Linked DNA regions of Macaca mulatta. Each later gene encodes a partner of the first gene's protein in a complex. Links are inferred from orthologs where the notes say so. Each region holds a gene or a part of one and is shown on either strand. Other genes may lie near its edges.

Region 1 (15,896 bases):
GCTTCTTTTTGAAATTATGAAAATGTTGTGAAATTAGATACTGGTGGTGGTTGTATAAGTTTGTGAATATATCAAAAGACATTGAATAATAATAATTATTATTGTGTCTCCTATATGAGAGTTCACTTTAAGGGACCAAAAATAGGAGTACCCCATAAACACAACCCCACCTCCTGCTATTGCTCCATAGGGTTGTTAAATAATTGAATGGACTAATAATGTATGTATGTAAAGCACCTAAGACCTGGGACATAGCAAGTATTTAATAAATGTTAGACACTTTTAAAAAAGAAAAGAAAAGTAAAAGAAGAGCATTGCCTCAACACTCACATTATTGGTAAGAACTTTGCTTATTAGTCACATAATACTTCTTCCATGTGGTGCTTTGTATGTGTGGGTGTGATAGCAGTATCTAAAAATTTCTAACACAGGTCTCTTTCAATGACAATATGTATGAGAAGGAGGAAATATTTTGTAAACCAGAATAATGAAACCTGTTGTCATTCCTATGTAAAATCACCCTTTCGTGTTTTCTCAAATAAAGAGATTTAAGAATCCATTGAGAAATCTGGCTTGAGCACTATGATCAGACAGCCGTTCTGTAAAAACCATACGGGAGTGACTAGTTTGTTTCACTCTATTAAAAAATACTTGAACTTTCTCAGATCTGACTTATAATTACATAACAAAACAATTAAAATTTGTCTTGCAAGTTGGTTTGTTTCTTTGCTTATCAGACCAACTCTTTTTAAGGCTTCCCCACCCTGCGTTAATGGTAAACCTCTGCAATGAAAGGAGTAAATCAAGGCTATCCTGTTTTTTGGAGCTAGGAAGCAGGTGAGGAAGAGTGCAGGAGGAGATGGGAATGTAGAGAATGCATATTGTTCTGAGAACTTGATCATCTGTGTAGTTTGTTTGTTTTGAGATGGAGTCTCCTTCTGTCTTCTGTCGCCCAGGGTGGAATGCAGTGGTGTGATTTCGATCTCTGCCCACTGAAACCTCCGCCTCCCAAGTTGAAGCCATTCTCCCACCTCAGCCTCCCAAGTAGCTGGGATTACAGGCACATACCACCATCCCTGGCTAATTTTTGTGTTTTTAATAGAGACAATTTCACCATGTTAGCCAGGCTGGTCTCGAACTCCTGACCTCACATGATCCGCCCGCCTCAGCCTCCCAAAGTGTCATTTGTGTAATTTTACTAAAGTATGGCTTCTAAGGTCTAGTCCACCTCCAGGACTGTATGATTCTTGGAGGAAAAAAATATAAGAGAAAACCCTGAAGTCAAAGCGTACCACTCTGTTCATCTTCCTAATCAGCCTTATAAGTACAGTATTACCCTGCCATAAGGTATAAAAACTAGCATTACTGATAACCAGTAAAGGTTTATTGAATTCCCTCTGTATGTACATGCAGACCTCCATTGTACTACTGAAAAAAATTATAGAGGTGTTCAATCTCAAAAGAACGATATGAATTGGGTAGAGTTAAATAGGGAAAAATGGGAGTTTTATGGGTAAGCAAACATACATAGTTGTGGAAAGGATTAACGATTTATTAAATGGGAGGAAAAACAAGTATAAAAGCACTGAGTTGAAAGCAAAGGCAGCCCTTTAGGAAAAGTAAGGTTACAAATAGCATTAGATTCTGTGACTGCAAACACAGCTGCAAACCTAAGGACAGACCAAACTGGTATTCAGTATGCAGAGACTTACAGGTCACAGTCTTGATTTCATTTCTGATAAGATGTAATAAATACACGTATAAGCTGAGTCATTTATAAATATCAATCTCAATAAAAAACATCTAGGTACCTATTCATATCTAGAGAAATACTTAAAAATTTAAAAAATTAACTTGGAAGGACATGTCTTTGGAATGAAGCACAAACTTCTTTTTTTTAACAATCGTTTTGTGTTAAATTACTGACATAAGAGAAGAGACTAAAATAAGACTTCTGAATTTATCACTAGCTTAACTAGGAAACCTACAATCAAATGGAATTAGAACTTGAGTTTCAGAAGCAGCATAGTCAAGTGCATCACAATCAAATCCAAGCTAGCCTCCTTAATGGAAGAGGAACCTTGAATAAACTCGGTGGCCAGAACTCACTCATTTGTTTATTTGGGGTTGTTTTAGAGAGACAGGGTCTCGCTCTGTTGCTCAGGCTGGGGTGCAGTGGTGCAATCATAGCTCACTGCAGCCTCGAACTCCAGGGCTCAAGTGATCCTACCACTTCAGCCTCCCCAGTATTTGTGAATACAGGGTGTGCCACCACACCTGGCTAATTTTTGATTTTGTAGAAATGGGGTTTTGCTATGTTGCCTAGGCTGATCTCCAACTCCTGGCCTGAAGCAATCCTCCTGCCTTGGCCTTCATAAGTGCTGAGATTACAAGCATGAGCCAGCATGCCCCACCTACTCACTCATTTGTGAAGTGAATAAAATAATTTCTACCCAGAAGAGTTACTGTAAGGATCAGAGTGACAGAACACTAAGAGCCTAGAATGGTATCCATTGTATGTTATACCTCAAAAGGTTGTACTCATTATTATATAGTCCACTTAGTCATTGGAGCAACCTATTCAGCTATGCAAGAGAGTAATTATTCTTTTCAGAAAGGAGGGAATAGATTTAAAAATGTGAAGGAATAGCCCAAATTCTAGAATTGGACTGATACTTTTATCTCTTGCCTCCCCAGTGCTCCTTTCTCATTAATATAACTAGCAAAAATGAATTAACTAGCAAAAATGAATTACAATGCAAGCTCCAGTTAAGTTTCTCTTCCCCTCTCCCCAATAAAAAGCTCTCATTCTTTCTTTTTTTGTGAGCAAATAAAGTACATTTACCTAAGGAAGAACGTTGTACAGTGGTCTCCAAAATGGGATGCATAAATTCCAAAGGTGTGCAAGATGATCCATTGGGAGAGAAAATTTTAGAATATTTAATTATATTTTATGTTTCTTAATTCATTTTTTATATATCTTAATTTACATGGAGTAATAGTATGGGACTATATATGTTTATAATTTCTAAATGAATCAATATTCTTATTTTAAGGATCTGTGCTCAAAATGTTTCCCTGAAAGGAGTGTGTTATTTTAAAATTCGGAGATTACTGCCGTAGAGAACTGTTTGTGAGCACAACTTAGACAGCCCTAAAAAATTTACTTTTTTTTTTTTTCGAGACGGAGTTTCGCTCTGTCACCCAGGCTGGAGTGCAGTGGCACGATCTTGGCTCACTGCAACCTCTGCCTCCCGGGTTCAAGCGATTCTCCTGCCTCAGCCTTCCCAATAGCTGGGATTACAGGCGTGTACCACCACGCCCAGTTAATTTTTGTGTTTTTAGTAGAGACGGAGTTTCACTAAATGAATTAGAGATGAGTAGATTAGAGGAATACGATTTTGATATAGTTATGATGATCCCATGCTTATGTTCAGGTTAATAAGACATATTAAACACACTGTTTTTGTTGTTGTTTTGAGACGAGTCTCGCTCTGTAGTCCAGGCTGGAGTGCAGTGGCGCGATCTCGGCTCACTGCAAGCTCCGCCTCCCAGGTTCACGCCATTCTCCTGCCTCAGCCTCCCCAGCAGCTGGGACTACAGGCTCCCGCCGCCTTGCCCAGCTAATTTTTTTGTATTTTTAGTAGAGATGGGGTTTCACCGTGTTAGCCAGGATGATCTCGGTCTCTTGACCTCGTGATCCGCCCGCCTCAGCCTCCCAAAGTTCTGGGATTACAGGCGTGAGCCACCGCGCCTGGTCAACACACACATATTTTTTTTTTTTTTTTTTTTTTTAATTTTAGCACATCACAGATTGAAGGAATTACGAGACATTGCCCAAACTCTCTATTATTTTCTTTTTCTTTTTTCTTCCTTTCTTTTCTTTCTTTCTTTTTTTTTTTTTTTTAAGACAGAGTCTTGCTCTGTTGCCAGACTGTAGTGCAGTGGTGCCATCTCAGCTCACTGCAACCTCTGCCTCCCGGGTTCAAGTGATTCTTCTTCCTCAGCCTCCCTAGTAGCTGGAACCACAGGCATGTGCCACCACACCCAGCTAATTTTTGTATTTTTAGTAGAGACGGGGTTTCACCATGTTGACCAGGTTGGTCTCGATCTCCTGACCTCGTGATCTGCCCACCTGGGCCTCCCAGAGTGCTGGGATTACAGGCATGAGCCATGGCGCCTGGCCCACCCAAACTCTGTCTTATTTTCAAACGGTCCCATAAAAAATGAGCAATTTTCTCATTTGTAAGAACTGCGAGGCCATTGGTATTCCACTGTGGCATTTAATAGTTTTTATTATCAAATACATCTTCCTGGTTAATCCAGAATCATAGTGATGTGGTTTAAATAAATCTTCCCACATTATCTTTTCCATAAAGATTATGTGTTTTTCATGGGTTCTTGACCTCAGATTTAGAAACCTTCTAGAATTGCATGCAAAATGGTATACGTTGGTACATTTTCCTGGGGAAAAGCTCTTTAAATACTTAAAAGTGCCCCACAAAAAAAAATGGCTAAGAAACACCTCTCAACATTCAATGCCTTTATAGACCAGGTTACTCTTCAGTTATATTTTTTCTAGTTTAAATGTTCTAAATGACTTTGGCAGAGACCCAACTTTACATTCTGCAGAGCCTCTCAACTTCCTCCAGCCAATCAGCTCCGAAGATTACTTGGCTATATACCTGTGGCTCACCTTCTGTTCAAAGATTCCCTGGCACTTTGCTGCCAATTGCTTGGAAATTCCACTTATTTTCCTTAGATTTTTCTCATAGCTACTATTTTCAAGTACTCTAATTATCACCATGCTCACTCTCCTTTGAGCCATATTGTAGACCTCAAACTAATTTTAGCACATGAATAAGAATATGGTAAGTGATGAAAGGGTAAGAGAATGAATCTAACCTTTAGTGTGAGCCAGGTGTTTTACATATGCTATCCCTGAAACCACAACATAAGTAGGCATTATTGTCATCCTCTTGCTCTCTTCTCCCTGACATACAAGTAAAAGGTACTTTGTAGCCTAACTCAGTGGCCCACACCTGTAATTCTAGCACGTTGGGAGGCCAAGGTGGGCAGATTGCTGGAGCCCAGGAGTTTGAGACCAACCTGAACAACATGATGAAACCCTGTCTCTATAAACAATACCAACATTAGCTGGGTATGGTACGCACTTGTAGTCCCAGCTACTCAGGAGGCTGAGGCAGGAGAATCACCAGAGCTGGGGATGTTGAGGCTGCATGACTAGTGATTGCACCACAGCACTCCAGCTTGGGCAACAGAGGAGACACTGCCACACACACACACACACACACACACACACACACACACACAGGTACTTTATTATAAATTCAAATAGAAACAAGTTAATTTCATTGGAAATATTTATGCCTATGGTTATTCATTCTGCTTCAAATAATGCTTTCTAAGAGAAGGTAAAGAGTAGAAATTCAGTAAGGAAGACATCATTCCTACTATATTAAGCCTCTTGAAAATAAAATCTTTGTGTTTTTTTCATATTCTCCAGAAATAAAAGTGATGCTTGGTGCATAGAAGGCACACAATAAATGCTGAGTGAATAAATTGCTTGAACACCTACTGTGTCCCAGAATGTGCCTTAGGAGGCAAGTAGCAAGTAGTGTACTCTCTATCTTATAGTTGAAGAAACAGTCTCAAGGAGATTGAGTAACTTGCACAAGATAACGAGCAGTAAGTGGCAAAACCATCAGATAAAGACACTCTAAAATTCTTATTCTTTCTGCTAACCATACCAATGACATACCTTCTTTAAGCATTTAAAAAAAAACTGCTATCATAAACAGTTATTACAAACACCTTGGAAAACATTCAGTGAACAACCAAATTTAAATTACAAATTAGATTTTTTTTTTTTTTCTCAACTTCCCTTTCCTGGCAAAGTGTGACTATGTGGCTTACCTGTGGTGACAAGATTAAATTTACATTAAAAGCATGTAGGAACAACCTGAAAATATTCTAGTATAACTGAAAGATAATTATTTATGCATGTTTAACATCCATAACAGAATACAAATTACCATGTCTTTACTCTCAAATAGTAAATGATCTGATTATATATGTAAGAAATATGAATATGCTATTACAGATTTTTCTTTTTTTTTTTTTTTTTTTTTTTTTTTTTTTTTTTTTGAGACAGAGTCTCGCTCTGTCGCCCAGGCTGGAGTGCTGTGGCCGGATCTCAGCTCACTGCAAGCTCCGCCTCCCGGGTTCCCGCCATTCTCCTGCCTCAGCCTCCCGAGTAGCTGGGACTACAGGCGCCCGCCACCTCGCCCGGCTAGTTTTTTGTATTTTTTAGTAGAGACGGGGTTTCACCGTGTTAGCCAGGATGGTCTCGATCTCCTGACCTCCTGATCCGCCCGTCTCGGCCTCCCAAAGTGCTGGGATTACAGGCTTGAGCCACCGCGCCCGGCCCAGATTTTTCATATATATAATTTTTCCATAAGTATTCATAAATCCTCAGAAAATATATTTTATCATCATTAAACATTTCTGATGGAATTTCTGAAAACCTTAAAGTTTTTCTAGTTTTAGTCAATATACAATTTCATAAAATTTGACGTAAGTTAATGATTTTTTCTTTAATAACAGGCAATTTTGGGCTCATTTCTCTAATTAATTTCAAGTCATCCATAATTACTATTTTAAAAGTAATGATTTTAACTAACTATAAGTTTTAATTATTACATTCAAAAATACAGAATGCTTCATGGATTTTCTTAGAGCAAAGGTATTTGTGTAGCTTAGTGTACTTAATATCCACAGTAGTACCCCAAAAATTAAAAGCCACTATCTTGAATAGTATTTTAGAACACATAACACTATATAATGTTAAACAGTACGAACTTTGTCATTTTAACAATTTTTACAAAAGCCATTTTTAATAATTTGATCATTATAAACTTCAAATGACTGAGAACAGGAGCAGGTTTAATTTCAATAATGATATTTTATCTTTTTTTTTTTTTTTTTTTTTTTTTTGAGACGGAGTCTTGCTCTGTAGCCCGGGCTGGAGTGCAGTGGCCAGATCTCAGCTCACTGCAAGCTCCGCCTCCCGGGTTTACACCATTCTCCTGCCTCAGCCTCCGGAGTAGCTGGGACTACAGGCGCCCGCCACCTCGCCCGGCCAGTTTTTTTTTTGTATTTTTTTAGTAGAGACGGGGTTTCACCGTGTTAGCCAGGATGGTCTCGATCTCCTGACCTCGTGATCCGCCCGTCTCGGCCTCCCAAAGTGCTGGGATTACAGGCTTGAGCCACCGCGCCCGGCGATATTTTATCTTAATGGTACATCTCATCATTGAAGCATAGCAATAAATTGTGGAGAAAATACAGGAAACATTTTATCTCCCAAGCCAAAGTCTTCTGTGATATTTAAATTCTTTGGAATTCTTTGGAAATTTAGCTTATTGAATTTTTTATATTAGTGCCTTAATATTACAACCTGTGTTATTATACATATTATATATTCATAGACATACAGGTTTAAGCCAGACATTGTATTTAAATTATGAAAAATTGGAATCATTTCTGAGCTCAAAGAAGAGAAGATGATTTAATTTCAACAGAAACAAGGGGGTCTCAACACATCACATCACCATGAAATAAATATTAAATTAAAAGAGAAGTCTTAGGTTTAACATTATCATGTATAGACTCACCTGGTATCCTGACCGCTTGACTAACAAAAAACCTTCAAAGTACAAAGGTAGAGCAGTAATCTTTAACCTTTCCTGGAAGATCCTGCGAGGGGCTGGTTTTGGGGGCTTCTTAGCCATCATACCCCTCTCTTTGGTGTGTGGTTTGGTTTCTCGTCTCAAACAAAATGAAATCCTCCTTGTGTGAGAGGAAAAGGCAACTGTTCAAAGAGGAAGTCCCAAATTGCTTTTTAACCACCAACAGGACACACACACACACACACACACACACACACACACTTTTTTTTCCATTACTTTTTGTGAGGTAAGAAAGAACAGGTGTAATCTGACTTTTAGAGAGCAATCTCTGGGTAATCTACATATGCTTAGATTTAAAGCAGCAAAATAAACAGAAGATTAACATCACCGAAGATGAAAGAAACAGGTGTAGAGATTGTGAACTTTAGGGGAGACATCAAGAACATAGTTATTCTTTCTACCTTTGTTTTTGTTTATTGCTGTCCATTTTTATTTGCAGAAGACATGACTTGAATAAACTCTGCTTCATTAAAAATTGCTTCATAGAATAATTTTATTAGTACTATTTCTGTTGGTTAAATATTTCAGGGCCAAGTTTTGTGTAAATAAAAAAAATAGTTCTATCTCATGCCCATTTGATGCTTCACTAAATATAAACCACAGTTATGGGAACATGGAATATGGAATTTTTTTCTTTTTTCTTTTTTTATTTTTGCCAGTAGGTATTCCAAGTACATGAGTTCACAATGAATATTTAGTACTATGTTTTAAATGTATCCTCCAAAGTTTGTGTGTTAGAAACTTAATCCCCAATGCAACAGTGTTTAGAAATAGGACCTTTAGAAGGGGATTAAGTCATGAGGCATCTGCCCTCAAGAATGAATTAATGAATTAATGCTGTGGGAGTGGGTTTCTTTCTCTTTTTTCAGAGGCAGGGTCTTGCTGTGTTGCCCAGGCTGGAATACACTGATGCAATCACAGCTCACTGCAGTCTTGACCTCTCAGGCTCAAACAATCCTCACATATCAGCCTCCCAAGTAGCTGGGACTACAGGGCAAGTGCCACCACTCCTAGCTAACTTTTTCATTTTTTGTATAGACAGTATCTCCCTATGTTGCCCAGGTTGGTCTCGAACTCTTGGGCTCAAGCGATTCTCCTGCTGTGACCTCCCAAAGTGCTGGGATTACAGGTGTGAGCCATTGCATCTGGCCTGGAAGTGGGTTTTTTATAAAATCAAGTTTGGCACTTTCTGGCATGCTATCACCCTCTCTTGCTCTTCTATCTTCTGCCATGGAATGATGCCGCGTGAAGGTCCTCATCAGATGTTGGCTTCCAGCTTCCGGAACCATGAGCCAAATACATTTCTGTTCATTATAATTTACCAGTCTGTGGGTATTCTGTTACAGCAACACAAAGGAGTCTAAGATATTTGGCAAACAATATCTGGCAGAGAAAGCTGTAAGTTTTCAAACTTTTATTTTGTTCTTTGTGCTTTCTGAGCTGCAGACCATTGATTCATGGATGGAGTTCATGAATACTATTGATACTATGATTCATGGATGGAGTTCCCACAGTTATCTAGTGAGATTTATAAAGCTATACTGGGGCCAAAGTGCACTCAATGGTTGCATGTAGGAAATGGCCCTTAAGAGATTGGATTTGCCCTAGCACAGTGCAGGAAATGATGGGAGAAAAGAATATTAGAAGGAATTTTGATTTGTCTTACAGGGGTCCTAAGAATTTCTACCATTGCCTATTTCACACTCAGTATTTCAGAACTACTCTAGATTTAGAACAGCCTGGGCCCAGTGAGACCAGCCTATTATTAGAAATCAGAGCAAGCCAGGAGTCTTCAGTCTGATTCTCCTTTCCTAATGGAGAGACTGCATGATTTTCTCCACCAGTGTGGGTCCCACTGATCCTGCAGTGGGATATGAGATGCCAAATTGTCTACAAAGTAAGGTAGAACAATACAGACTGATTATCAGTAAGTTAGAGGAGAGTGTTCAGATGTATTATCAAAATGAAAACAGCTAGAGACAGACATAGAGAGTTGAAGATCCAAAATTACTGCTTTGCTTTTATAAGTTTAGACCTGCTTCTTGCTACCCAACCTTCAAATAATAAAATATAAGTCCAACTTAATTTTTTGAGACAAAAACCATAACTATTTTTTAGTTTCAGTATACTAAGAAAGTGACTTGAGTAACGGGAAAACCTCCTGATTGAATATATGACCTAATCCACTTTCTTGGCAGCTGTTAGTTGTTGTAATACAGGGGGGAAGTGAAAGGAAGGATTAAGAATTGAAAAATGAAAAGAAGCAGCAAGGATAGAGAAAGATAGAATGCTGGGGATCATCAGTGATTAGATACTGACTTTATGGCCAGAAAGTTTCATAGGCAAGAGAAAATAATACCTCTAGAAAAATGTAAAGAGGAGTTTTTGTTGTTGTTGTCAAATAAACACTTGGTTATGTTTTTTTGCCTTTAAAAAAATAAGCAACAATTTAAAAACAGCTAATCAGATGCAGTAAGTTACTTTGGTCTACTGATTTATGCATCAAATTCATTTTTAATATACCAAGAATCTCCCTAAAAAAGACTACAAAATGCAAAAATCTTTCTTAAACAATATTAACCAGTTAGTCTTGTCTGCAATTACTAGTATCATTGTACCACTGCACCATTACAATGGAAATCCTCTTACAGATATCTCAAGTCTTAGGCAGTGAATAATAAATTTGTAGGTAAGGAAATACAGTAGAAAATATGTTTGGACATAGGGCTGAAGCTAATTTTGCTACTAATTGACTCTTGAGACCTTGAACAAACCACTTGACTTCTCTGGTATCATAGCTTCCTCACCCATACAATGAGGCGATGGACTACATGACTTATTGTCTGAAGAGCTGCAAAAGGCTTTTAAGTGGTCTCCTAGTTTCCACTCTTTTTCTTCTCCAATTCATTTAAAATTCAGCCTAATCAAGATACTCCCCTACTGAAAAGACTTTAATGGATTTTCATTGCTTTTGAGATTTCTTTTTAAAATTTTTTCATTGAACATTGAATATTTATTGAATACCAACAATGGGCTCAAGCATGGCACACTGGTCCTTCATAGCAGGGCCCTTTTAAATAATAACTCCTCAAAATACCCTTTGCTCTGGTAATTTCATTTATTTTCAGTTGCCTGAATACCCTATGATCTTCCCTATCACCTCATACCTTTTCAGTCACTGTACTCTGCTTAGATGCCCCTCCTTCCCTTTGTTTATATGGTAATGTCCTACTCATCCTTCAAGACCCAGGCTGAATCTATCCTTAATTCTGAAGATTTCCTAATTTCCTGAATCTTTCTTCACCCTCCCCCCAGACACAAAAAAAGGTTATTACTCTCATTTCTGCTTTCCCAACACAGTTTGTATGATTTCTTTTTTATAGCATTTGTCCTGTTGTAGCTATTTGTATACATTCAGATCAACAAGAAACAGTTTTTCCAAGGGAAAGATTGTGTTGAAGTAGGGGTTGGTTATAGGTAGATTGCAATATCATTTATTTACTGAATAGCTTCCAGATAAAAAATATGATTCTAGTTTGGAGAATTATTAGCTTCCATTGTGACAGGAGTTTCCTTTTTTCTGATATATGTGACTATTGGTTGACATATGATTCTTGTGTTGCCTTGTAGAATAATCATGTTACTATTAAACTATTGGAGCCCAATATTACAGCCATCGGTAGCATCTGTGTCACAGAACATTGTTATAAATCAGGTTTTATGGCAAATATAACTTAACGACTTTGGGTAAAGTATAACAGTTAACTCATATAAACCAAAATGTCAGTGATCTATTGAGTCCTCTATGTTATAATGTCATTTGAGTAAAAATCCACATTTTTTTACAATAATTGAGGATCTCTAAAATACTTTTCTATCCATTTATTAGTACTGAATCAATCAAGTCTGAATAGGAGGCTCCAACTCTGCTCTAGTATTTCCACATTTCTGACCTTTGTTTTACTTAATATTTATTGATGATTTATTGCCATATGCATTATAATTTGTGTTAGTATATTTCGAAGATATTTTAATTGCATGCATTTATTTTTATAACTCATACCTGAAGAATACAGCTTTAATTTTAACCACTGCATGAAATGCTTATAGCTTATCAATGGCTGGTGTGAATCCAATACCATCTTTATTATGAGTAAATTTTTTATTACTATTGATAGAATTAAGCCACATTTTCTTTTTCTTTTCTTTTCTTTTTTTGAGACTGAGTCTTGCTCTGTCGCCCAGGCTGGAGTGCAGTGGCACGATCTCAGCTCATTGCCACCTCTGCCCCCCGGATTCACACCATTCTCCTGCCTCAGCTCCTGAGTAGCTGGGACTACAGGTGCTCACCACCACACCTGGCTAATTTTTTGTATTTTTAGTAGATACGAGGTTTCACCATGTTGGTCAGGCAGGCTAGTCTCGAACTCCTGACCTTAAATGATCCATCTGCCTTGGCCTCCCAAAGCGCTGGGATTTATAGGCATTAGCCACCACACCCAGACAAGCAGCATTTTCAGTGGAGAAAATGCACATTGTACTACCACAACTCCAGAGATTATCAGACATACAATATGGAGTTTCCTACTCCTTTGCCTGAGATATAGTGAGCCATTGTTACTCAGAAAATGTTTCCCTTAAGTCTTTTGAAACAGAAAAAAAAGGTGGGCAATCATTGTTACAGAAGTGATATTAGTAGCTCTGTCAGAACAGTTTAATTTGCTAACCCTTATAATTTTCAGTGCAAAGAGTTGCAACTGGGATGATAAGAGCCTTTCCTAGTTATGTATTTTCAAACTACTTTTGTAGTGGAAAATATCACTTTTATTACTGAGAAGTAGTTTTTGGATGCCAGGTAAATACAGGACACTGGTTTTCATACTAGGTAACTCACAGAATAATGGTAACTTTAATGGAAACTAGAAATTCAGAGTGGGGAGATAGTTTGGGGGGTAGAGGGATAATGAATTCAGTTTTAACCATTTCAAACTCAATGTATACAAAGGTTAAGTCTATGTTTTCTCTTTTATTTCTCATCCTTCATGGCTTCCTTAGGGAATAAGGTGGATTGGTGCTTACCATCATTCCAAACCCTTCTAGTGTGCTTTTCTTTATTGCAGAGGCTAAAAAGATAAAATCTACATTTCTCAGACTTCTTTGCAGCTAAGATTGAAAAGCATTCAACATGATTGACAAGGCAGAAAGGAGGCAGTGTTCATTGTTATGCTGCCTTTGTTTTTGTTTGTTTGTTTGTTTTTTAAACTCCATTGAGAGGGAGTCTGGCTATGTTGCCCAGGCTGGTCTTAAACTCCTGGGCTTAAGTGATTGTCCCACCTCAGCCTTCTGAGTAGCTGGAATTAACAGATGTGAGCTACTGCACCAGGCAACCTTTGGTTTTCTAACCAATAAAAAGGCATGTGTGGCCTGTAGGCATCTAACTTTCCTGTGGCAATGTTATCAGAAGTCCCAATGTCTGATCACTAACTTCATGGGTCAAGTCATTGATAGTAAAGTCACAGACATCAGTTGGCTGGTGCATATCATCATATCATTTTAGGTAAGGTGTGACTCTGGAGCCAGAAGCAGTAAGGAGGCTTTCTGCTCATGAGAGGATTCTTTTTTTTTTTTTTTTTTTGAGACAAAGTCTAGCTGTGTCCTGCAGGCTGGAGTGCAGTGGCACCATCTTGGCTCACTGTAACCTCTGCCTCCTGAGTTCGAGTCTCATGCCTCAGCCACCTGAGTGGCTGGGATTATAGTGTGCCACCACTACTGTATAAGTATAGAACAAGCTACCATTATTCTGTGAGTTACCTAGTATGAAAACCAGTGTCCTGTATTTACCTGGCATCCAAAAACTACTTCTCAGTAACAGAAGTGATATTTTCCACTACAGAAATAGTTTGAAGATACATAACTAGGAAAGGCTCTTATCATCCCAGATACAACTCTTTGTATTGAAAATTATAAGGGTTAGCAAATTAAACTGTTCTGACAGAGCTACTAATATCACTTCTGTAACAATGATTGCCTTGCTAATTTTTGTATTTTTAGTAGAGATGAGGTTTCACCATATTGGCCAGGCTGGTCTCCAACTCCTGGACTCAAGAAATTTGCCTATCTCAGCCTCCCAAAGTGCTGGAATTAAACATGAGTCGCCATACCCGGACTCATTGGATAATTCTTATTTGTGGTGACTGATAGAGCAGGAATACCATCATCTCAAACACTGCCACTTTAAGTTCCAGCTCCCTTTCTAGCCTCATGCATTTCAAGGAAATCACTTCTCTTCTAACTACAAGCAGCCAGGAAGAGCAGACAGTAAAGCAGATAAGACAGCTTGGGCACAGAGGGAGGTGGGGGCAAAGTCTCTTGGGTAACTGCCAGACTTCACCCTCATACAATAGGCCCAGTAAAACAGTGGGCCTTAATAAGCACATTCCTTTCCCTTCAGGTGCACTAAGATAGGGAAGCTAAAAGCAGACTCCGGGGAGTATACCTGCAGTACAGAAAGATGTATGGGAAGACACACACATCTTCCTCCCAGATAATCACAGCAAAGAGACAGAAGCAGTACAAGCCTCTGATAAACTCTCCCACCCTGAATCCTTCAAAACCCTTAGTCTGTAAGAGAGTGTGCCTCTGACCTAACTTGGCCAGAAGCCCTCTTGGGTTTTCTCTAAAATAAACCTGTCTTTGACTGTCAAGTCACTTTTTGTGTTTCTTTCCTCTTTCTTTAATTCTTACAGTGATTTCCATGACATGGCAGCTTTGTAATTGTGGTGGCTTCCTGATTGCATGATGTCAGTATGATCTTGGAGACATAAGCATGAATGTCAGCTTCTCAATTTTTCTATTTGTTTTATGACTGTAGAAACATCAGCTGCCTCTTAATGGCTTAGTTCTTTAATGTGCATTTGGGAATTATTCCTGAAAATCCAAAATACATGGTTTCTTCATCCTCTCAAGAATTTTATGAGCTGTTAAATGCAGGTAGCAGATCCCTTTTTGCCAAAACTAGCCATCACAAATTGTCTTTTTTTTTTTTTTTTTGAGATGGACTCTCACTCTGTTGCCTTGTCTAGAGTGCAGTGGTGCAATCTCGGTTCACTGCAGCCTCCGTCTCCCAGGTTCAGGTGATTCTTCCGCCTCAGCCTCCCGAATAACTGGAATTACAGGCATGTGCCACTACGCCTGGCTAATTGTTTTTGTGTTTTTAGTAGAGACGGGGTTTCTCCACGTTGGTCAGGCTGGTCTCAAACTCCCGACATCAGGTGATCTGCCCGTCTCGGCCTCCCAAAGTGCTGGAATTACAGGCGTGAGCCACCGCGCCTGGCTACAAATTTTCTTCTATGTAATTGAACCCTGATGACCACAGTTCCCCATAGTCTATAGGATAAGTGAAAAGTTACCCTGACATTGAAGTTGCCACATAATCTAGTTCCATTGTGTCAACATGAACACTTTTAAAATTTTTATTGTTAGTTTAAGAGAAGGAGTCTTGCTCTATTGCCTAGGCAGAGTGCCATGGTGCAAACTCCTGGGCCCAAGCAATCCTCCCACCTCAGCCTCCTGAGTAGCTGAAACTAGTCACGTGCAATCACACCTAGCTAAATTTTTAAATTTTTGATTTTTTGTTGAGACTGGGTCTCACTGTGTTGCCCAGGCTGGTTGTGAACTCCTGGCCTCAAGTGATCCTGCTGCCTTGGCTTCCCAAAATGTTGGGATTACAGACATGAGCCACTGTGCCTGGCCACACTTTTCAGTATTAGGTTTCTCTGTGTCAACAGCACATCATTTCTGCCCTGTGTCTTTGCTTCTAGTTTATCTTCCTCTTGTCTCTTACTTTTAGGTGAATGATGGAGCCTTCGGAAAAACAAAACCAAACAACTCTTACTTTAGGTACTGTCTGCAAGTTACCATTTTGGTATTTTATGTTTATGAGTTTCTATAGACACTTGAATTTACAAATATGTTATATATCCTATGCCACATATACTTAATTTAAAATGACCCAAGCTTAGAAAGTAGTATAACAATTCACCAAAAGATGCTCACTCTGTATCATAAGTTACAGCTGAGAAGAAGGCAGGCACTATTCAAACTAGTCTTGATAGCTTTCTTTTTTTT
Region 2 (15,340 bases), on another chromosome or scaffold:
TGCATTTCCCTAATTAATATGCTGAGCATTTAATCATGTGCTTATTTGCCTTCCAGAATCTTCTTTGATGAAGCATCTATTCATATGTACCCATTTTTTAAAGTTTTTACGTTTTTTATATTTTTGGTAGAGACGGGGTGTCCCGTGTTGCCGAGGCTGGTCTTGAACTCCCAGGCTCAAGTGATCCTCCCTCCTCGGCCTCCCAAAGTGCTGGAATTACGGGTGTGAGCCACTGCACCTGGCCTGCATTTTTTATGTTTTTGAGAGACAGGGTCTTGCTCTGTCACCCAGGCTGGAGTGCAGTGGTGCAATCATAGTTCACTGCAGCCTCAACCTTCCAGGCTCAAGCAATCCTCCCACTTCAGGCTCCCAAGTAGCTGGGACTACAGGTGTGTGCCACTACGCTTAGATCGTTTTTATTTTCTTTTTTTTTGTAGAGTTTGGGTGTTGCTCTGTTGTCCAGGCTGATCTCCAACCCTGGGCTAGTGATCCTCCTGCCTTAGCCTCCCAGAGTGCTGGGATTACAGGTGTGAGCTACTGCTCCAGGTCTAAATCTACCCATTTTTTAATTGGGTTGTTTGTTTTTTATTACTGAATTTATTTATTTACTTATTTATTTTTGAGATGGAGTCTTGCTCTGTCGCCCAGGCTGGAGTTCAGTGGTGCTATCTCAGCTCACTGCAACCTCCGCCTCTCAGGTTCAAGTGATTCTCCTGCCTCAGCCTCCTGAGTAGCTGGAATTACAGGCATGCGCCACCATGCCTGGCTGATTTTAGTAGAGATGGGGTTTCACCATGTTGATCAGGCTGATCTCAACTCCTGGCCTCGTGATGCACCCACCGTGGCCTCCCAGAGTGCTGGGATTACAGTCACGAGCCACCGCACCCGGCCTTTATTACTGAATTTTTGAGAATTCTTTATAGTCTGGATGCAAGTTCTTTATCAGATATATTAATATTTTCCTCTAGCCTGGCTTTCCGTGCTGCCCCCCCGCCCCGCCCACCCATTTTCTTAACAGTATCTTTGAAAGAACTGTCAGCATCCTTTTAAGAAATAAATTGAACTTTAGGTAAACATAATCTATCGCATCTTAGCATTCATTTTCCGGCTGGAGTTGGAATTCCTCATGCTGATTTTGAACAAACCATTAGTTCAGTTTGTTTCTGTTTTTATTTTTATTTTTTCAGTTCAGATTTTAAAAAAGAACTCCCCCACTTACTAACCAGATTTGAATTTGGTTTGTTTTTCAGGAAATTGGATACACTCACATGAAAATAGCAGAAGGAGTGAACTCCCTTTTGCAGATGGCAGGCCTCCTGGCCAGGCTGTGTCAGAAGACAATGGCCCCGGTGGCCAGTTAGAGCAGAGACTTCGCTGACTGACTTACAGGAGCCCTATCCTGAGGTACAGGAGCTGTGGCTTTCTGATGGGGGAAAATGCCGCCTTAGGCTGGAGCCAGCATGACTGCCGTTTAAACTCCAGTGGCTGGCCAGGCGCGGTGGCTCACACCTGTAGTTCCAGCACTTTGGGAGACCGAGGCAGGTGGATCACCTGAGGTCAGGAGTTCGATACCAGCCTGGCCAACATGGGGAAACACTGTCTCTACTAAAAATATAAAACTTAGCTGGGTGTGGTGGCAGGCACCAGCTACTTGGGAGGCTGTGGCAGGAGAATCGCTTGAACCCAGGAGGTGGAGGTTGCAGTGAGCCAAGATCATACCATTGCACTCCAGCCTGGGTGACAGAGAGAGACTCTGTCTGGGGGGTAAAAAAAATTAAATAAATAAACTCCTGTGGCTTTCATGATTGCTTCTGGGACATCTGTGCCTCACGAGTGTTTGCGTTCAGCCTCCGCCCCACTGATGTGGTACGGGGCGGAAAGGCACAGAGGAGCTGAGGGTGGTCTCTGATCTGTGTGTGGGTTGACATTTTAGCTAATAAAGCCTTGCAGTGTTTGTTGGCAATAAGGTGACCACGTGAAGCCTCGAGGAAAACCAGCTTCCTGTCTCTACTGGCCTTGGCAGCCTACAAGTAGAAAAGGCGATTAGATAGTAGGCCCACAAGCTCATCTCGGTTCTTCTAGAAGCCTGAAGGGGCCACTTCCCCAGGGCGAGGGCAGGGTTTGCTGTCATTTCCTATTTAGACTGACTTCTCAGAATGGCCAGGTGGCGAGCCTCTCAGAGAGGGCCGCAGAGTGGAGAGACGCAGCCCAGCCCTCAGGAAAACACCGTGACGCCCTTCCTGTGTTCTAGACCATACTCTTTGTGCTTGCCTTTGTGCTTGCTTTAGAATTCCCCGGGGAATTTCCTACTAATTTGTAGAATTACCTTTTTTTTTTTTTTTTTTTTGGTAAGATGCTATTTTGTTTCCGTTTTTTTTTATTTATTTTATTTTTAAGATAGGGTCTTGCTCTGTTGCCCAGGCTAGAGTGTAGTGGGCCAATCCTGGCTCACTGCAGCCTCAACCTCCTGGGCTTAAGTGATCCTCCTACCTCAGCCTCCCAAGTAGCTGGGACTACAAGCATGCACCATGATGCCCAGCTAATTTTTAAATTTTTTGTGGAAATGGGGTCTCGCTCTATTGCTGGGACTGATCTCAAACTCCTGTCCTCAAGTGATCCTCCCACCTCAGCCTTCCGAGTAGCTGGGACTACAGGCATGCATCACGATGCTCAGCTAATTTTTAATTTTTTGTAGAAATAGGGTCTTGCTATATTGCTGGGACTGGTCACAAACTCCTGGTCTCAAGTAATCCTCCCACCTCAGCCTCCCAAAGTGCTGGCATTACAGGTGTTAGCCACCATACCCGGCCCGTTTGGGCACAGTGGCTCACGCCTGTAATCCCAGCACTTTGGGAGGCCAAGGCCGGCGGATCACATGAGATCGGGGTTCAAGGCCAGCCTGGCCAACACAGAGAAATCCCGTCTCTACTAAAACATGAAATTACCTGGGCATGGTGGTACATGCCTGTAATCCCAGCTACTCAGGAGGCTGAGGCAGGAGAATTGTTTGAACCCAGGAGGCAGAGATTGTAGTGAGGCAAGATAGTGCCACTGCACTCCAGCCTGGGCGACAGAGCGAGACTCTTATAAAAACAAGGAAGAGAAGCTTGTCCCTGAGGTTGTGCAGGCAGGACTTCAGGGTGTGAAGTAACACGCGGGCAACAGTTGGGTTCTAGACGTTTCTTCGGATTTCCTAACTTGTTGCATTAATTTCTTCTCATGGGAAGAGTCCCTGGGCCATCCCAGAAAGACGGCTGGACTTGGGAACTAAGATCCCATCCGCATGCCTGACGCCCTCAGGGTCCCTTTTTATTAAACAGGAGCTGTGGCCGTCATTCCCTTAAGGTTTTTTGTATTTGGTTATGTTTTTGGAGACAAGGTCTCCCTCTTTCGCCCAGGCTGGAGTGCAGTGGTGCAATCACCGTTCACTGCAACCTTCTGGGTTCAAGTTATTTTCCTTCCTCAGCCTCCCAGGTAGTTGAGACTACAGGCATGCACCACCATGCCCAGCTAATTTTTGTTTGTTTGTTTGTTTGTTTGTTTTTGAGACGGAGTCTCTGTCGCCCAGGCTGGAGTGCAGTGGCGCGATCTCAGCTCACTGCAAGCTCCGCCTACCGGGTTCATGCCATTCTCCTGCCTCAGCCTCCCGAGTAGCTGGGACTACAGGCGCCCACCACCTCGCCCAGCTAGTTTTTTGTATTTTTTAGTAGAAACGGTGTTTCACCGTATTAGCCAGGATGGTCTCGATCTCCTGACCTCGTGATCCACCCATCTCGGCCTCCCAGAAGTGCTGGGATTACAGGCTTGAGCCACCGCGCCCGGCTCCATTTTTGTATTTTTATAAAAGGTTTTTTACCTGAAGCAGGGGAAAGGAGACACAGGATAATCACTGCTTTTCAACTAAAATGGTTTTATTGAGATGTTTTGGTTGGAGGAGATACTTTTTCTGGCAGCATTTCTGACTCAGAAGGTCCCTCTGGGCCCCTGCTCTTCCCATGAGACAGTCATATTACTGTCTAATCAGCTCTGCAGAGGCCAGCCCTGGAGCAGAGGAGGATTCTGGGCCATGGAGGAGACCTACTCTGCCCCGTTCTGGTCACTGCTTCTCTAAACTCTCACGCACTATTGTCCATAGCAAATGACATTTCCACTGAAAGCGCATAAAGATGGCGACAGCCTTATTTCTTCCTTAGTGAACTGAAGCCCAAAGAAAGGGGAGGTCCCACTAAAGGGGAAGAGAGCCAGGGCCCCGCCCAACCAGGATGCTGAAATTAACTACATGTAATGCTTTCTAGGAGACAACACAGAAATCTCTACTCTGAAATCCAGAATATTAAATATGGCTCCCCCTCTATAAGTTAACTGGAGAAGCTTATCAATCCTTTAAGACCCCGGCAACCAACAATAGCAATTAGGAATCCAAATTCATAGCACAAAAGGACACAGATACCAGTGTTGGACAATGGTTTTGGTATGGGGACAGGGCGACAGCTTATCCTAAATCCTACGCATCCATCCATACCAGGAGCCGGGTTACCCTCGGTACCAGGTGCCTGCCCCACAAAGCCTGGGTTGGGAGAGGGCTTGGTGGCAGGGCTGCAGCTCCTGTGGGTAACTGTCCTTTCCCGGGCTGTGCGCGCCTGGCCATGTGGTCCTCAGGGTGGCTGGTTCTCCTTCCAGGAGCAACCATGGCAGGGGCTTAAAAGTTGAGTAGCTCTGGGAAATGGTCCTTGGAAAGCAGCGACAGGTCCATGAGCACAATAGTCCCTCTTCGCCTTGACTCCTTAAATGAAGAGGAAAGTTTGTAGAAGGAGGTTTGCCTTGATCCGTATTTTGTTCCTGAGAACCAGAACCACTGGTTTGGGGCAGCTCACAGCAGCTCAACCTCCTAGACTCAAGCTATCCTCCCACCTCAGCCTCCGAGTAGCTGGGACTACACGTGTGCACCACTACACCTGGCAAATTTTTGTATATTATGTGGAGACAGCGTTTCGCCATGTTGCCCACCCCTGTCTCCACTGCTGCCACCCCTGGCCCAGATGGCACCAGTGCCTGGGTCCTTCCTGGGCTTCCTGTACCCACTCTCCCAGTACCCATTTGTCTGCCCAACAGCCAGAGAAATTGAATTAGAAACATCCAGCCAGTCTTTTGTCCAAAACCTTCCCATTGGCCGGGCGCGGTGGCTTACGCCTGTAATCCCAGCACTTTGGGAGGCTGAGGTGGGCCAATGACCCTGAGGTCAGGAGTTCGAGACCAGCCTGACCAACATGGCGAAACCCCATCTCTACTAAAAAAAAAAAATTAGCCAGGTGTGGTGGCACGTGCCTGTAGTCCAGCTACTCGGGAGGCTGAGGCAGGAGAAACCTGAACCCAGGAAGCAGAGGTTGCAGTGAGCCGAGATCGCACCACTGCACTCCAGCCTGGGTGACAGAGCGAGACTCCTTCTCAAAAAACAAAATAAATACAAAAAAATTAGCCAGGCGTGGTGGCAGATCTCTGTAATCCTAGCTACTCGGGAGGCTGAGGCAGGAGAATCGCTTGAACCCAGGAGGTGGAGGTTGCAGTGAGCTGAGATTGTGCCGTTGCACTCCAGCCTGGGCCACAGGAATGAAAAAAAAAGAAAAAAACAACCTTTCTGTCTCCCTCCCTCCTTCCCATCTCATGCAGTAAAACCCCAAGTGCTGGCCCTGCCTGGTCAGCCTCCCCACCTCCGGCCTCGACCTCCACTAGCTTCCCCTCACCTGCTCCTCCCCACCCCGGCTTTGCTCAGACCTGTGGGGCTCATTCCACCCTGGGGCCTCCGTTGTCCCCTCTGCCTGGATGCCCTTCCCCCAGATGGGGTGAGGAAGGGAGCTCTGAAAGGCTTCTCTAGCCTCCTTCCTTAAATTGCAACACCCCATCGTGCCCACAGCCCCACACTACTTCCTGCCCCGCTTCCCTGTTTTGTTTATCTCTGCCGGACTTACCACCAGTGAACATGCCATGTCTTCTTACCTGTTTTCTTTCTATTTTTTTTTTTTTTTTTTGACAGGGTCTCATTCTGTCATCCTGGCTGGAGTACAGTGGTACCATCATAGCTCACTGTAGCCTTGAACTCCTGGGCTCAAGTGATCCTCCTGCCTCAGCCTCCCAAGTAGCTGGGACTACAGGCACATACCACTATGCCCAGCTAATTTTTAAATTGTTTTGTTTTTTGAGATGGGGTCTTGCTCTGTTGCCCAGGCTTGAGTGCAGTGGCGCGACCACAGCTCACTGCAGCAACCGTGGCTCATTGCAACCTTGACCTCCCAGGCTCAAGTGATCTTCCCACCTCAGCCTCACAAGTCAGTGGGACTCTGGGGCATCCACCACCATGCCTGGCTAATTTTAAAAGTTTTTGTAGAGGCTGGACATAGTGGCGCGTGCCTGTAATCCCAGCTACTTGGAAGGCTGAGGCACGAGAATCACTTGAACCCAGGAGGCAGAGGTTGCAGTGAGCCGAGATCATGCCACTGCACTCCAGCCTGAGTGACAGTGATACTCTGTCTCATTAAAAAAAAAAAAAAAGTTTTTGTAGAAACAGAGGTCTTGCTATGTTGCCCAGGCCGGCCTCAAACTCAGAGGCTCAAAGGATCCTCCCACCTCAGCCTCCCGAAGTGCTAGGATTCATAGGCATGACCACTGTGTCCGGCCCTATCTGTTTTCTCTCTTCCACCAGAACGTAAGATCTAAGGGGTCAGGGGTTTCCTGTTCTTTATGTTGGTGTCCCCAGCACCTAGAGCGGGACTTGCCCATAGCAGGGGCCCAGTGGATACTGGTTGAATGAATGACGTGGGGCTCTGCACACGCGGCTCAAACTCCTGCACCTGCTTCTGGGGCTGAGTCTTGACCGCCCGGGTTCAATGTGGTTTCTACCCTCCAGCCTGTTCACTGAGATGACGGCCTGGGTCTCCCAGGTGGGGGCTCTGGGCGGCCTTCAAGGCCCTCTGGGGATCCATCCTGCTTCCCAAGCGGTAGACCCAGCCTGGGCTTTGATGTCTGATGTCTGACCACTGGGACTTCCATCTCCTCCTCCCCTTACTCCAAGATGTGACCTTGGGCAGGTGGCTTCACTGCTCTGTGGCTTTGGGTGCCAAGAGATGGTACACGTGTGAACACTTAGCATCATTCCATCTCACTGGCTTGCGGTGGCTCCTCAGTGCGTCTCAACCACCGTTACATTTTCCAGTGTCCCCGCCTCCTGTCTGTTTCCAGCAGTGACCAAGTGCCTGCTGGGCTGAGGCTTTGTGTGCGATGTCTGGTCTGTTTTTTTATTTGTTTATTGAGACGGAGTCTCGCTCTGTCGCCCAGGGTGGAGTACAGTGGTGCGATCTCTGCTCACTGCAACCTCCGCCTCCAGGGTTCAAATGATTCTCCTGCCTCAGCCTCCCAAGTAACTGGGACTACAGGCGCCCACCACCATGCCCGGCTCATCTTTTGTGTTTTTAGTAGAGATGAAGTTTCACCATGTTGGCCAGGCTGGTCTCAAACTCCTGACCTTAGGTGATCCGCCTGCCTCGGCCTCCCAAAGTGCTGGGATTACAGGCGTGAGCCACCACGCCCGGCTGTGTGTGGGATGTCTTGTCTGAGAGGGAGGCATCATGTGAGGAACTAATTTCTGGGAGGTTGTCACTTGGTCCAAGGTGGCAGCCAGGAGGATGCAGTGGAGTTGGGAGACCCACCCGGTGCCTAATCCTTTGCCCCCGAAGTCACCAGAATTCCCTGCCTGATGCCCCTGGCCAGAACACAGGAACAGAGTCGCCAAGCTGCCCTCTTGGAGCACCCATGGGTGCATCCTGCAGCCCCCACCATGGCCCCTCCACCCACACTCTCGGCTGTTCCCTTGGATTGGGGGTCCTGCAGCCTGGCAAGACCTCCAGTCCTTGGCCTACAGCAGCTGGAGAGCAGGGGCTGTACCTTTCTTCTTGGTCTGCCCTAGGCTTCTGTGGCCGCCACCTCCCCGTTCACGTAATCCGGTTCCCCGTCCTCCTCCTCGTCTGGGCTTCCCACCGGGCCAGGGGAGGCTTGTCTCTGGAGTTGCCCTGCGGACCAGCGGGCAGACAGGTCATCGAGTGGGTCATGTGGAGACACCCGTAACTATTCCCCCAGACTCAGACCCCAGACTCCACAAAACAGCCTGCGGGAAACGCCATGCCGGACAGGTCCTAGCAGTGTGTGTCTGTCCCGTCTCTGGGATTTGCCGAAGATCGTCCTGCTCTGAGAGCAGGTGAACGTGTTACTCTATGCATGCAGCTGGACGGGGCGGCCTGCCCGGGAGGACCTGACCCCACCCCAGAGGCTGGGTGGCTGCCGAGGGCCGTCCTGTGTGGTTCAAGGTCTCTGCAGCTGCCCCTGCACCCAGGCATCACTGCGGGGTTAGCTGGACTGGCTGGAGGGAAGCCCACTTTCAGCCCGCGCTTCCAGGCCAGTCCCTCAAGCCTGCCCTAAGTGGGCCACCCTGCATCCTCCTCTGGCCACCTACCCATGACCCTCCTGGACTCGCGCCACTGATGGATGGATGCTGAGTTCTGATAATCCTCGGATTCCTCATCTTCTTCCGGGGAGGCAGAGGGACAGAGACCAGAAGTGGGGCCAGTCTTCAGGGCCGGCGACGGGATGTGGTCCCCTCTGCAGAGGCCACCTGTGCCGTCCTGCTGGGCAACTGCAGAGAGGGAGAATAGGCCCCCCTTGGCTCATCCCACAGAGGCACCAGGAGCCAACAGAGCCTCCTCCGAGGATACTAGGGGCAAGGCTCTACCCAAAGGTACCCAGGGATCTGAGAGCCTTCGGTTTCAAAGTGGGGGCGGCCTTTGAGCAGTGGGGAGTGCAGGGGCCAAGGAGGCCTGCTGCTCCCGGCCCCAGCCTGCCCCTGGCTGGGCAACCTCACCTGGCTCTGTGGTTTTCTGCTTGCAAATGAGCACATTCTCATAGGAATTGGCATCATCTGTAGGAGAGAGAGGAGCAGGCACGGGGGTGTGGGCAGGCCCTGCAAGGCCTGGCTCATCCTCCACCTCTGTCCTGCCTTCCCTTTGCAGGGGACCTTTCCTGCCAAGCCCTAGCCCTCTGGGTCCTCTGGGACCTCAAGCCTTCTCCTGGATGAGCTTCCTAATGGGCGCTGGCCTGGTGCCTCTGTAGGCTTTTCCCTGAGCCCTGAGCTCCTTCTCTGTCTTCTTTGTTTCTTGTTGAGATGGTGTCTGCTCTGTCACCCAGGCTGGAGGACATTGGCAAAGTTATAGCTCACTGCAGCCTCCAACTCCTGGCTCAAACGATCCTCCTACCCCTCAGCCTCCTGAGTAGCTGGAACTACAGGCACGTACCACCGTGCCCAGCTAACTTTTAAATTTTTTTGTAGAGAGAGGATCTCGCTGTGTTGCCCAGGCTGATCCCGAGCCCCTAAACTTAGGCCATCTTCCCAAAATGCTGGGATTACAGACGTGAGTCACTGTGTCCAGCCTCCTTCTCTGTCTTCTGAGATCCCCTCCAAATGCACTTGGGAGGAGGTACTCTGGGGGAAGGTTGCAATTCAGGCCCATGATGGGTGGCTGGAGGGAGGGAGGGAGGCAGGGGCAGCCTCAGGGCTCATCTCTAATCAGGAGCTTTCCCTAGAGCCACTGCCGGGAGGGGCTGGACTCTTCCAGACAGGGCGGGGCAGGCTGGGGACGCTTTGCTTGGGGACCCAGGCTGAGTGTGGCACCTCAGCGCCTGGCACCCCATCTTGGTCTTGTAATGGGGAAGCTGGGCTCTGACCGATGCCCCACCCAAAATCCATCAGTGATGTTGGGGTCCTAAGAAATTGAGCAGTGCTGGCCTGGTGGGGTGGCTCACGCCTGTAATCCCAGCACTTTGGGAGGCTGAGGCGAGCGGATCACCTGAGATCAGGAGTTGAAGACCGGCCTGGTCAATACGGTGAAACCCCGTCACTACCAGAAATACAAAAAATGAGCCAGGCGTGGTGGTGGGCGCCTGTAATCCCAGCTACTTGGGAGGCTGATGCAGGAGAATCGCTTGAACCTGGGAGGTGGAGGTTGCAGTGTACCAAGATCGTGCCATTGCACTCAGCCTGGGTGACAGAGCAAGGCTCTGTCTCAAAAAAAAAAAAAAAAAAATGGAGGTGGCAGTGGTGGGGGCAGAAGAGGACCCCCAACACCTACCCAGCATGGTCCAGGCAGGAGCCAGGTCAGGCAGCTGGATTCAAGCCCCGGGCCCATGCACCTCTCAGCAGGCTCCTCCCACCCTGAGTCCTCAGTTGCCCTTTTTTTTTTTTTTTTGGTTTTTTTTTTTTTTTTTGAGATGGAGTCTTGCTGTGTTGCCCAGGCTGGAGTACAACAGCATGATTTTAGCTCACTGCAGCTTCTGCCTCCCAGGTTCAAGCGATTCTCTTGTCTCAGCCTCCTGACTAGCTGAGATTACAGGCATGCACCACCATGCCCGGCTAATTTTTTTTTTTTTTTTTGTATTTTTGTAGAGACTGGGTTTCAGCATGTTGGCCACACTGGTCTTGAACTCCTGACCTCAGGTGATCCACCCACCTTGGCCTCCCAAAGTGCTGGGATTACAGGCGTGAGCTACTGTGCCCAGCCTCTCAGTTGCCCTTTCTATAAAGCAAAGGCATTCAGGGACCAAGGTTCTGGTGGCCTCAGAGCCTGCAGGGATCACTGTCCCGGGTACCTTCTGGGCTCAGGAGGAGATGCTCAGTCCTCGTTGACAAGGACCTGGCCTCCCCCGACCTCCCCGAGCCAGCCCTCTAGTTCCCTGCCCCTGTGACCCACTCCTCTCTCCCACGCCTGTGTCCACAGCTCCCACGCTGACCCACCTGCCCCCTAGCCCTCCTTGGCCCCTGCCTGCAGCACCAGCCTCCTTCAATCCACCCAGCCGGCTTTGCCAGTTCAACTGAACCCAGGCCCAGCGTCCTCTCCTGCTGGAGGTGTGGCTTCTGCCCCGAGCTCCCACTCTACTTCCTCCCCCACCACCGGCTTTGTCCTTCACCTCACCTTCCGGGGGCTTCCGGAACCGCCCCCAGTTGTAATACTCCATGGCAATGGGGTCTCTGGCCAAGAGAACATACACAGCACAGGTTTCAGGGCAGGCTGGAGGTCAAGTTGGGGGGCTCTGTAGGGGGACGGTGAGGCCAGGGCTGCTCCCAGCATTGCTCGTCATGGGGGTCTGCCAGGATCTCCTCTCTGATTCCTCCACCCCCACTTCCTGGGACCCCTGAGCCACCGGGGGGCTGGAGGGCGTGGCCAGCCGCCTGGTTGGAGCCACCTTTTTTCTGTGTGTGTGTTTTGTTTTTTTTTTTGAGGCAGAGTCTCTGTCATCCAGGCTGGAGTGCAATGGCATGATCTCGGCTCACTGCAACCTCAGCCTCCCAGGTTCAAGCGATTCTCCTGCCTCAGCCTCCCAAGTAGCTGGGATTACAGGCACGCACCACCATGCCTGGCTAATTATTTTTAGTAGAGACGGGGTTTCACCATGTTGGCCAGGCTGGTCTTGAACCCCTGGCCTCAGGTGGTCTGCCTGCCTCAGCCTCCCAAAGTCCCGGGATTGCAGGCATGAACCACCGCACCTGTTGAGCCACCTTGCTTTGTGACCTTAGGCCAGTCCCCGTAGTTTGCCCATCTGTGAGACGATGCAACACCCTGGAGGGGTTCTGGGTGTCCTGTAGCTTGTCTTTGACTGGGTGATGCTGAATGAGTCTCCATCCCCCACCCCGACACCCTGTGTCCCAGAGCAGGGCCAAGTCCGGTCCCACAAAGCCAGGGTCACCTGAGAGACAACAGTGTCACCCAATGCCTGCCTGTCAGGAGAAGGAGGGGAACCTGGATGCCTTGTTCTAGTGCAAGAGGGTGGTTCCTGGACCAGGAAGCCCAGGGCTGTGGCAGGCAGGTGGGGCAGGGGGAGAGGTGAGGCAGGGGGACAAGACCAAGGTCACTCACATGTAGCCTTCCTCTGACCCGTGTCTGCTTCCTGCGGGAGGAGGCGAGAATCAGGCCTGAGCCCATGGGCTGTGGCCCCCACTGTGGCCTCCCCCTTTCCCCAGCAGCCCACCTACCTTTGCTGAAGTTCTGGTACCTGCAAGATGCTGGATCTGGAAGAAAGGCCCAGCTCATTGCTCTCTCCCCTGGCCCCTGCTTTCCACCCAGCTCGGCGCTACAGCCCAAGGCAGGGCGAGCTATTTCCCGTGTCTGAGCCTTTGCAGTGCTCCCTGTCCCCTCAGTGGGGCATGTGCAAGTGTGCACCCTCCCCCTGCCAGGCCGATTCCAGGAGCCCGCCCTGCCCCAGCCTGTGTGTCTCTCCTGGGGAGGTCTCGCCTGGCCCCACAGCCCCCACTGCACGACGCCTGGCCCACGGGGTGTTCGCCTGTCTTAGTCCCAGCTTGGCTAGGCCTGTCCCTGTCCCTGCCTGTGCCACTCACCCTCCAGGCCTGGGGAGAATTGCAACAGCTTGTCCTTCCTGCAGGGAGGGGGAAGGAGCGGGTTGAAGGAGGGGCCGTAGCGGAGATGCCCCCCAGGATACATCCCCTATACCCCTGGTGGGGCCTTCATAGCTGAGCCCTGGAGCTCTGGGGCCCAGGGAGGGAGGGAGGTCTTGACCTGGGCTCACCAGGTAGGGACCTACAGGACTTTCCTTCTTATCACTTCCTGGGGGGCTGTGACCTACCTTGTGGGTGCCGTGTCCTCCAGGGGTCCTGGCCATGCCTGCCCGACCACTGCAAAGGGCAAGAAGTGGGGTGTTGGCTGGGCCTCCAGGCTAGCCCAGCCCCCTCACCCCATCATCCCCCCACATCAGGCCTGGCCATGGTCTTACGGCAATGGGGACCGAGAGAACCTGCTAGGGACACCCCCAACCCAGAGCCCAGCCCGGGGGCCCTTGGAGACTCACAGGAGTAGGTCCAGGACCCTGTGAAGCTCTGTTGGTCCTCACGCCTGGAAATGCATGGGCTGTGCTGAGCCTGGGCCTGGCCTCCCACAGTCCAAGGACACAGGGACAGGAGAGAGGGACAGGCAGGGACGAGGAGGGAGAGCAGAGGGACAGACCAGGGTGACAGCGGGGAGGAACCGCTGTCCTTTCAGGCCTCACAGCTCCCCCTGCTACCCCCATTCTCTGGCCCCTCTGTGCACTGGGTGCCCACCCCTCACACAGGGTCCTGGGCTAGAGCCCGGCTCTCAGCCAGACCCATCCCTGACGTGGCCTCAACAGGGCCACATCCTGCCGGGGGGTCCGAGGCCCCTGGAGACGGGTCAGGAGGGATCTGTGGACAGGGCTGAGGCGGCAGCCCTGAGATTCTGGGGCATGAGGGTGAATGAAGGCAGGTGATGAGGAATCCAGCAGTGACTTGGGGTAAAACATTTCAGCCAGGAGTGACAAAGAGGCTGCCTCCCACCTGCTGGTCCCAGGAGTGTTTGCAATTCCTTAAAAAAGCACACGCTCGAGGCCCGGTGCGGTGGCTCACGCCTGTAATCCCAGGGCTTTGGGAGGCCAAGGCAGGTGGATCACCTGAGGTCGGGAGTTCAAGACCAGCCTGACCAACATGGGGAAACCCCGTCTCTACTAAAAATACATAAATTAGCTGGTTATGGTGGCGCATGCCTGCATTCCCAGCTACTCGGGAGGCTGAGACAGGAGAATCACTTGAAGCCAGGAGGTAGAGGTTGCAGTGAGCCAAGATCATTCTACTGCACTCCAGCCAGAACAACAGAGTAAATGTGACTCCATCTCTAAATAAATAAAGAAAGAAATAAGACTATTCCTAGCCTTCCTTGCACCAAAGTGTGGCCATGGATTAAGCTCTGGTCTATGAGATTCAAGCCAAGGTTGTTGATATTTCCAATAAATCTTTTTAAAGGGGGGCACTGGCAACTGGGAGACACCCTTTGTATCCTTGTTCATTCTTTCTTCCTGCTGCTGGGAATGCAGAGATGAGGGCCGGCGCCCCAGCTGCCATCTCGGACCATGAGCTGCTCTTGAAAATGGAAGCCACCATTACAGGTGATGGAGTGGATTGGCTCATTATTAAAGCAGGTTTGGTGGCTCCTCCTCTGAACCAGAATGGGTACCTGGCCCAGCCTTCCAAACTCCTGGAAGACTGGGGCTCAGGGTGACCTGATTTAGGAGAGATACCCTAAATCCACAGGAGAGAGTCAGATGTGGCTTCCTGGGAGAAGCAACAGAGGAACGGAGCCTGTGCTCACAGCAGTCACTTCATGCAGACTGGTGGGACTGAGCCCAACCGAGGTGACAGATGGAGAGGCAGGCAAAGGCATTCCAGGGAGGGGACCGAACAGCTCCCCTTCCACCTCCCACATGGAGACCCTGAGTCTGGCCCTGACCCTCTGTGGCTCTAAGATCAATCGGGGGGCCGGGGGTGGGCAGGTCCTGAGAGAAGAGGGGAGGGGGAAGTGTCCGAGGAGTCAAGGGCGTGGGGGGCATCGGGGGAGGTTGCAGGCAGGCCAGAGAGCCACGTGGCCAGAAAGACCCAGAAAGGTCTAGCCCTGGCCCACATTGAGCAAGGATGGGAAGATTCTATTTTCAAATCTCACTGTGGTTTTTCAGTTGCAAAAGGAAATGAGGAAGGATGTGTGGCGTGCGTGTGTGGGTCATGAGTGGCTGCTCGGGGGTGCACGTGGACCTCCAAGGTCTCCTGGGCCCACAGCAAGTCATTCTCTTAAAGGACACCTGTGGCTACTGCCCATGTACCCAGGCTGTTTTGGGTTTTAGCCCTAGCCTGCAGTGTCGGACCCACTGCCCTTCCCTGGGTCTTTCTCACAGTCCTTCCCTGGTTCCCCAAGGGACTTGCCCACATCCTCCCCAGAGCTCCAGCAGCTTCTCCCAGGGGAGACTCCAACAACGTTCACATTTCACCCTGTGCTGGGGTCTCTGTCTCTTGCATTGCAGGGGGAGAGCGGACTAGCCCTGGGGGATTGGGGTCAAAGGGAGGCTGAAGACACAGGTGCCTGGACTTCTTTTTTTTTTCTTTTCTTTTTTTCTTTTTCTTTTTTTTTTTTTTTTTCTGAGATGGAATCTCGCTTTTTCGCCCAGGCTAGAGTGCAGTGGCACAATCTCAGTTCTCTGCAACCTCCGTCTCCTGGGTTCAAGTGATACTCCTGCCTCAGCCTCCAGAGTAGCTGGGAGTACAGGCACCCACCACCATGCCCGGCTAATTTTTGTATTTTAGTAGAGACAGGGTTTCACCACGTTGGCCAGGCTGGTCTCGAACTCCTGACCTCAGGTGATCCACCTGCCTCGGTCTCCCAAAGTGCTGGGATTACAGGCGTGAACCATCGCGCCTGGCCAGATGCCTGGACTTCTAGAGGGGTTCACAGGA

The links.
Region 2: the proteins of STAP1 (region 1) and LAT2 are in contact, whole or in part, in a crystal structure (PDB 3MAZ), measured with the Homo sapiens proteins. The link is inferred for Macaca mulatta from reciprocal best matches to the Homo sapiens genes STAP1 and LAT2. Residues at the interface, in NP_001304698.1 of Homo sapiens: Arg184, Arg203, Pro204, Gly205, Ser206, Ser212, Ile215, Gln217, Ile219, Lys225, His226, Tyr227, Lys228, Glu239, Leu240, Glu241, Tyr255, Phe256, Glu259, Thr260, Arg261, Asn263, Leu264; in NP_054865.2 of Homo sapiens: Asn134, Ser135, Tyr136, Glu137, Asn138, Val139, Leu140, Ile141, Lys143.

Annotation. Positions count from the first base shown.
Region 1 is NC_133410.1:65,918,305-65,934,200, forward strand, and holds the start of STAP1 (signal-transducing adaptor protein 1), read right to left. Parts: upstream 7,928-15,896; 5' UTR 7,815-7,927; coding exon 7,695-7,814; intron 1-7,694. UniProt on the Homo sapiens protein: In BCR signaling, appears to function as a docking protein acting downstream of TEC and participates in a positive feedback loop by increasing the activity of TEC.
Region 2 is NC_133408.1:51,729,002-51,744,341, reverse strand, and holds the end of LAT2 (linker for activation of T-cells family member 2 precursor), read right to left. Parts: intron 12,942-15,340; coding exon 12,898-12,941; intron 12,753-12,897; coding exon of another isoform or gene 12,725-12,752; coding exon 12,676-12,724; intron 12,469-12,675; coding exon 12,431-12,468; intron 12,137-12,430; coding exon of another isoform or gene 12,104-12,136; coding exon 12,068-12,103; coding exon of another isoform or gene 12,034-12,067; intron 11,983-12,033; coding exon 11,952-11,982; intron 11,066-11,951; coding exon 11,010-11,065; intron 8,963-11,009; coding exon 8,906-8,962; intron 8,681-8,905; coding exon 8,501-8,680; intron 8,061-8,500; coding exon 7,954-8,060; 3' UTR 7,936-7,953; intron 4,784-7,935; 3' UTR 4,134-4,783; downstream 1-4,133. Other genes in the region: RFC2 (replication factor C subunit 2), read left to right, coding at 1,251-1,361. UniProt on the Homo sapiens protein: Involved in FCER1 (high affinity immunoglobulin epsilon receptor)-mediated signaling in mast cells.